2 linked regions of the Cricetulus griseus genome follow. The protein of the gene in region 1 binds, or shares a complex with, the protein of each later gene. Links are inferred from orthologs where the notes say so. Each region holds a gene or a part of one and is shown on either strand. Other genes may lie near its edges.

Region 1 (3,533 bases):
TGGTGAAGCCCACAGGGCCCAGCCGTCTTTCCCTACAGCTTCTCTCTTCCACAGGAGATTCTGGGGGTCCTCTCATTGTTCACAAGAGGAGCCGCTTTATTCAAGTGAGTCTGTGGGGGAGACGCCCAGGGGCCACATATACCACAAAAAGGAACGCTTGATGCACGTGGCTGACTATAAGCCAAGCATCTGGCCTATGTGCACCAAGGAAGACAGTGCGAGCTGGGCCCCTGGTGTACTGTTTTGGGTCAGCTTGGCTGCTTTATGGGATTATGAAGTGTCAAGTGACCCATGGCACCCTTCACCTGCACAGGTCGGTGTCATCAGCTGGGGCGTAGTGGATGTCTGTAAAGGGCAGAGGCGGCAACAGATGGTACCTGCTCATGCCCGGGACTTCCATGTCAACCTTTTCCAGGTGCTCCCCTGGCTCAAGGAGAAACTCAAAGATGAGGATTTGGGTTTCCTATGAGGGGCTTCCGGCTGGGAGGGGCGAGGGTCAAATTAAAACAGCTGCGATAAGGACTGTATTCTTCATCTTTTGGGGGTAAGGGGTCAGGGGGTGTGCACTGGTCATGTTGCTACAAGTAACATCAACACTGACAGCCACTTTTGAAGGTTTAACCCCGATCCCAAGTGTTGAAAGACTAGAGGCTGAAGGGGGTGAGGGAACTTCTGCCCCAGGATTTTACTGAGACCAGCTTGGGGGCATACGAGGCACAAGGAATCCAGCTTCGTGTCCTAAAAGCCATCCACAGGTTTCCTACAGATCGTCACTGTACACAATCTGGGTCCTTTTGTCCCGGTGGCAGCCCTTAGGGCTGTTCTGGACAGCTGAGGAGGGAGGAAAGGGACAATTAAGATGTCAAGCAGCTCACAGGTTAGACCTGAGGTCTGAGTCTGATTATCTCCGCCCTGGCCTTGGCCTACCAGTGCTTATGCTGCCCCCTGGTGGCCAGAGTCTCACTATGGCTTAGAGAACGCAGAACCTTGTTACTGTGCGTGAGACATGTGAATGATGAAATCATGAAATACATGAAATTAAAGATGAGAACATCTCTGTGGCCCTTGCCGGTATCCTGGTCGATTCTGGTTCCTTCCTGGTGTCTGCAGGGCCTCTTGCTCTGAAAATCTGTTTCAGGCAGAGTGGGCTGTCCACACTGAGGAACCCCACACACGTCTTCTGTGGAACCCTCAGATCCCAAGTGCTCAGCTGCTCTTTCCTTACACTCCTCAGCCAAAGGTTCCATCCTACACCTGTGGTGCCAGAGGCAGCACCCCCCCCCCCAACTCTGGTCCTGTACTCTGCCTCTGCTGACTGCCCCTCCTCCTCAGAGCCTGGGTCCATGGCCCAGGGCTTCTGGGGCTGCTCTCGGGGGATGCCTCATGGCTCCTTCAATGAAGCTGCCACTTCCTCCTGGCAGGCCAGGATTGCTGGAGACAGAGCCCAGCCAGCTTCTTAACGTACTTGATCCCCCAAACCAGTCCTGGGTCACCCTTTTCTCTACAATTCCCATTTCTTGATGGTTCCAGACTCACAATTTCAAGTTCTGACACCACCCCAGCTCAGAGGGGGCAACATGGTTCTTGCTCTACTCCCCATGCCAGTCACTCCCCTCCCCTCCCCTTCCCTCCCCTTCGACAGACAGCCTGGCAATTCTCTATCAGCTGCCTAGCGCAAACCTTCACCCTTAGCACTCTAGGGAGTAGTGTGCTGTAGAGAGGAGATGAGGGAAGAATCCCATCCTTACCAAGGGAACCCCAGACAGATTTGCCAGTAGCAGCATCCAGCATGGGCTGTTTGCGGGCTATGTTGACTTTGAGCTGCACGGATTCCACCTGGGTCCCATTGAGCTGTGGGATACAATGGGAGGACAGAGGTGGGCATTACAGGGAGCCAGGGGACCAGACAGGGCTCTGAGGACAGAGTTTTTCTCAGTCGGGAGAAGAGGTGGACAGGAGGGACAGGAGGGAGGGGTCTGAGAAGTCCCAACCTCAGCAACGGCCTGATCTGCAGACTCCATCTTTTCATAGGTGACGAAGGCACAGCTGAGGTGAGAAAAAGCGGGATCAGTAGTGGTCCATGGCCCTAGTGTCCCCACACAGCTCCCTCCCCAGGAGGCTCGTCCTTACTTTCTGGGTGGGTCCATGGAGAGGTCAATGATGTTTCCAAAGGGAGAGAAGGCCCCTCGGAGGAGGGTGGGCGTCATGTCCTCTCCATACACATAAAGTGTGTTCCCCTTCCGAGGGGCCCTCCTTTCGGGGAATGAGTCTGACCCTGTGGGTCAGGAATTACAGTCATTCACTACTGAGTCCCAGTCACCCCCCTCTTTAGCAGGGCCCACCTAACCCTGGCCAAAAGCACGCACTGCGGAAAGGGCCCTCGCGCTCTCGGTCCCGTTCGCGGTCTCTGTCTCGATCCCGGTCTTTATCTTTGTCCCGGTCTCTGTCTTTGTCTCTGTCCCGGTCTCTGTCTTTATCTCTGTCACGGTCTCTGTCTCTATCCCGGTCTTTGTCTCGGTCTTTGTCCCGGTCCCTATCTCGGCTCCTCTCATGACTTCGGTCGCGGCTGCGGCTTCGGGGAGGGGACGCTGAGGAGCGGGCACCACCATGTTCTTCGTAGCTCCAGTCAAAACCTCGGGGTGGGCCATCACCAGCCCCGGGGCCCTCTGATTCTTCTCCATCTGGTCCCAGTTCCCGCAACCGATCGCTAGAAGACACAAAGCTGGGGAGAGGCAGACAGTAAGGACAAGGGGGCTCCATCTTCTTACAGACACACTCCGCCTGCAGCCTGCTCCTTCCACTCCAGCCCTGAACCTTCCAATGACTCTGGCCACTGACCCCACAGCAAACTGTGGCTTCTCTCTAACCTTTCATATAGAGATTTCCTTTGGGGACGTCTGGATGACTGAGGGGGGGAAAAAGAAGATAAAGAACAATTAATATGATTCCCAGGTGCTCGAACGGGATCCAAAATCTGTGGGTCTTTTGTCTTCAACCCCGGCCATTTACCTCCTGCAGGTCCTCATCAGCAGATACGCTCCTCTGGAACGGCTGGAAAGTGGGGGCAGGCCCCTTCTCAGGGTCCTGGGAAGGGATAGACACCCATGTTAGTGTGGACCAGCAGAGTTCCTCTTCCCTCTCTTCTTGGCTTCTCTTGATGATGCTGGTCTTTTTTTTTTTCCCCTTGGTTTTTTCTTTGGTTTTTGCCTATGTCTCCTGAGAGCTGGGGTTAAAGGCGTGCGCCACCAACGCCCAGCGATGATGCTTGTCTTTTTGTTTGTTTTCGAGTCAGGGTTTCTCTGTGTAGCTTTGGAGTCTATCCTGGCACTTGCTCTGTAGATAGGCTGGTCTTGAACTCACAGAGATCTGCCTGTCTCTGCCTCCCGAGTGCCGAGATTAAAGGCGTGCTGCCACCACCTGGCTTGCTATGCTATTTTAAAATAAGGGTTTGGTTTACTCAACCCTCAATCCCACCCTAGCAGCACCAATGTGGAAAACAGAAACGTAGGAGCCACCTAGGTTTCCTGAGTAAC
Region 2 (4,029 bases), on another chromosome or scaffold:
CTAATCACCTGCATTCTTTTTATAACAGAGCTCAGGCTAGCAGGTATTTACTTATTATGTATGCAGTGTTCCACCTACATGTGTGCCTGCAGGCCAGAAGAGGGCACCAGATCTCATTACTATGGTTGTGGGCTGCTCTGTGGTTGCTGGGAATTGAACTTGGGACCTTTGGAAGCCAGTGCTCTTAACCACTGAGCCATCTCTCCAGCTCTGCAGTTTTCTTTACTTTTTAAGTTATTGTGCATGCATGCGTGCATGCGTATGCACGCACAGTGTGACAGCCCTTGGAGACCAGAGGCATCAGATTCCCTGAAACTGGCTGTGAGATGATACCTGGTGTGTTAGGGACTGAACTAGAGTCCTCCAGACACCCCCTACCACTTTGTTTTTTTTGGGGGGGGTTTCAAGACAGGGTTTCTCTGTAGGTTTGGAGACTGTCCTGTAACTCTTTGAAGACCAGGCCTGCCTCTGCCTCCTGAGTGCTGGGCTGGGATTACAGGCCTGTGCCACCACCACTCAACTGTCTCCAGATGCTTTTGTTACTGTTTTTTTGAGACAGGGTTTCATGTAGCTTAGGCTGTATTGAACCATTGTAACCAAGGATAACACTGAATTGCTGATCCTCTTGCCTCCACTTTCCTAGTACTGGGCTTATAGGCACTCACCACCACTCCAAGTTTATATACAGCTCAAGATCTACCCAAGAGTTTCATGCATGCATGCTAGGCAAGCATTCTACCTGTTGAGCTAAGTCTACTTAGCCCAATTGTTTTCTGAGATAGCCCAATCTGGCCTCAGACTCCTGAGACTCATGCTACCACCTCCCCCAAATGCTTCAGTAACAGGCATGGGTCATCACACCCATCTCCAAGTTACAGTTTTTGGCTTGGCTTTATTATTATTTTATAGGTATGGGTGTTTTGCGTGTTTGTATGTCTGTGTACCAGATGCATGGCTAGTGCCTTCAGAGACCAGAAGAGGGCACCAGATCCTTTGGAATCAGTTACAGATGGTTGTGAGTCATCATGCCAGGACTGGGAACTAAATCCAGGTCCTCCAGAACAGCTTGTGCTAACCTCTAAGACATCTCTCTAGCTTTCCAAGTTACAGTTTAAAAAACAAAACAAAGTAAAATTCTGGTCTTATCCCCACTACCACATTGCCTTAAGATCACAACAGGACTGAACAGGTGAAGTCTATGGAACAATAGTCATTTGCATTCAAACAAACAGCTGGGTGCCCTGGGCGATGGTGGCACACACCTTTAATCCCAGCACTCGGGAGGCATAGGCAGGCGGATCTCTGTGAGTTCAGGGCCAGCCTGGTCTCCAGAGCAAGTGCCAGGATAGGCTCCAAAGCTACACAGAGAAACCCTGTCTTGAAAAAAACAACCCCAGCTGGGTGGTAGTGGTGGTGTTGCATACCTTTAATACCAGCACCTGGGAGGCTGAGACAGGCAGATCTCTGTGCGTTCAAGGCCAGCCTGGTTTACAGAGGGAGTGCCAGGACAGGCAGGGCTACACAAGAAACCCTGTCTCAAACAAACAAACAAGCCCAAACCAAATAAACCCAAGGTTTTAGAACTTTCGATGATCCATTAGAGAAAATAATCACTTCAACATTTTCTTTTACATGTTCCAGCTGATCTCATGGGATCTTCCTGCCTCAGTCTCCAGAACAACTAGGAATACAGATGTCCACCATCGCACCTGGCTAGCAGATTCACTTTGTACTGCTGTTCGTTTCTCACAAGTAAAATCCAAACAGTTTACAGCTTCAGTGTAACTTAATTTCACACTCAGTACAGCACTGACACTAAAAAATGCACGACAGAAATTATTAATGTCCGAACAGAGCTACAGGCTTTTGACAAAAGAAATAAATGATCCCTCTCCTGGTTTTAACCTTGCAGGATGCTTTAAATTCAAAATCGTTAGTTACTGATGTGGAACTGTTGAAAGTAATGGGAACTGTTAAAAACAAAACAAAACAAAACAAAAACAGCAGTACAAGTGAAACTCATACCAGACACACAGTATACGTTTTCAAATTAAGCTGATTGAGTTTCTTTGTGTTTTTGCTTGTATTTCGAGACAGGGTTTCTCTGTGTAGCCAGTGCCTGCACTGGATTTTGCCATCCAGACAACCTTATTGTGACTCGTGTGGCTTGTCCATGCCCGATGCCCGTCAGACAGCAAAAAACAGGGCTCAACTTTGAGTCTCCTACTATTGCCAACTTTGTAGGACTGTCTTACAAAAACTAAGGACTGTAATACCAGACGGGAATGTCTAGCTGATTATAAAAACAAAAACGGCTATACTGTCTGGGTCAGCCAACGCAGGGATAACTCCTTCATTACAGACACTTTCCCAAGCAAGACAAGCCCATCAAAACAGCCACCACTACCCGAACCTCCCTGCATTGGTGCTGGTACCCGCAGCAGCAGTAAGAAACTGTAAAAGCAAATCCCAGGTTCCCTAGGAGTAAAGTGGCTTCAATGATATCCAAACACCTCTGGGACCCCATTCGCATTTTAGGACCCCAACAAAACAGGAAGGAAGACACAATAAGACGAGTGGAAGACACAGTAAGACAAATGCAAACCGTTTCTCAGTATTCCAGCCCAAAGCCAGCCCCTCTCGTGGCCCGGCCCGCCTCACCCGGAAGTGCTGGTCCCGGTACTCGCTGAGCTCCACGTAGGAGTCACTGCGTAGCGCCTTCAGGAGGCCACCGGACATGGTGCAGACACGAACCACGACGCGGCCACGACTGGAAGGACCAGGCGGCGGTGGCGGCGGAAACGGAAATGCGTGCGTCCTGTTGCAGTAAGCCGACGTGGTCAGGGCCAATCCTGGTGCGGCTGTGTCGTCATCATGCGGCGCCGGCTTGTCCGTCGTCGGGAGTGGCCGGTCGGAAGGTGAGTGAAGGCTCGCCCCGGGTTCCCGGGCGCTCCGAGGACGATGATTTTCCGGCGGCTGCTGGCAGCCCTGCTGCACAACCCGCAGCTGGTGGAGCGGCTGTCCGAGTCACGGCCTATCCGGCGGGCGGCGCAACTCACGGCTTTCGCGCTGCTGCAGCTGCAACTGCGCGGCCACGACGCGGCCCGCCGTCTGCGCGCCCTCGCGGGTCAGCCCCTAGGCTCCTTGGGTCGCCGCGCCACCCGGTTCAAGGACACCTTCACCCAGGAACTCCGCCGAGGCCTCCGGGACCAACCAGGGTCATCCCCAGGTCATCAGAAGGGTCCGGGCACCAAATCATAAGCACAGACTGCACTCTCACGGGCCTAGGTCACGTTCCCCCACCCCTCCCTCCAGTGATCTACACCGACCTTAGCAAACATGAGTCATCTCCCGCACGATGCACGGCCTCGAATCCTGACGCGGCGGTCAACATACAGAAGCCTAAGGTCAAATGGACATGTGCGTGGTAGTCCTGTGACTAGGCAGGACGTAAAGACCCCGAAGGCCACCAGAGATAAAAGTCAACACCAAAACTTAGTATGACTGAGAGCCAAGGACAAACGACCAGGAAGCCTGCCTTCTGCAAGCGGGACTGAAGCGAAATAAACGCTACTGCCATCTGCACTGGTGCAGGAGAATACCAGGGAAGATGGTAGATGGAATGACAACCCTGAGGTTGCCAAGATCTCTGGTTAAATATGTAAGCTGCTAAGTCTGTAGGATCTTGCTAATAATAGTTTACACGTTAAGCGTCTGTGTTGCTATTTGCTGTTGCATTGTGTGGTTTGTGACTTAAAACCCCATTCGTGTGAGAAAGTGGAGGCCACTTTTTGAACCCAAAGCCTTGTACAATGAGGTGAGCCCAGGCGTGTGACTCCAGGATCTGTGTTCTTGAGCACTCCCTGCTCAGGGACTGGCTTTTCAATCTCCACTGAGCACTGAGGCCTCTGTTATAGCAGCACAGGATACTTGGTTTCCTTGAGGCTCTGTCTGGAGTACTCACTATGGTCAGTTAACTGAACTGTGATTAGGAAACCTGTGCACATAAATTGCCTTGTCATTTTGAGA

The links. The genes of interacting proteins can lie anywhere in the genome.
Region 2: the proteins of Nelfe (region 1) and Ncbp2 are in contact, whole or in part, in a crystal structure (PDB 5OOB), measured with the Homo sapiens proteins. The link is inferred for Cricetulus griseus from reciprocal best matches to the Homo sapiens genes NELFE and NCBP2. Residues at the interface, in NP_002895.3 of Homo sapiens: Lys361, Arg362, Gln364, Ile365, Val366, Tyr367, Asp369, Tyr372; in NP_031388.2 of Homo sapiens: Phe49, Tyr50, Thr51, Thr52, Glu53, Gln55, Lys68, Ile69, Ile70, Met71, Leu73, Lys77, Lys78, Thr79, Ala80, Asp107, Glu121, Gln124.

The regions. Positions count from the first base shown.
Region 1 is NW_023276806.1:231,395,931-231,399,463, reverse strand, and holds the end of Nelfe (negative elongation factor E), read right to left. Parts: intron 3,085-3,533; coding exon 3,010-3,084; intron 2,906-3,009; coding exon 2,868-2,905; intron 2,723-2,867; coding exon 2,367-2,722; intron 2,276-2,366; coding exon 2,131-2,275; intron 2,047-2,130; coding exon 1,992-2,046; intron 1,852-1,991; coding exon 1,749-1,851; intron 832-1,748; coding exon 761-831; 3' UTR 512-760; downstream 1-511. Other genes in the region: Cfb (complement factor B), read left to right, coding at 55-104, 314-469. UniProt on the Homo sapiens protein: Essential component of the NELF complex, a complex that negatively regulates the elongation of transcription by RNA polymerase II.
Region 2 is NC_048597.1:57,548,747-57,552,775, forward strand, and holds the start of Ncbp2 (nuclear cap-binding protein subunit 2), read right to left. Parts: upstream 2,817-4,029; 5' UTR 2,740-2,816; coding exon 2,662-2,739; intron 1-2,661. Other genes in the region: protein NCBP2AS2, read left to right, coding at 2,962-3,261. UniProt on the Homo sapiens protein: Component of the cap-binding complex (CBC), which binds co-transcriptionally to the 5' cap of pre-mRNAs and is involved in various processes such as pre-mRNA splicing, translation regulation, nonsense-mediated mRNA decay, RNA-mediated gene silencing (RNAi) by microRNAs (miRNAs) and mRNA export.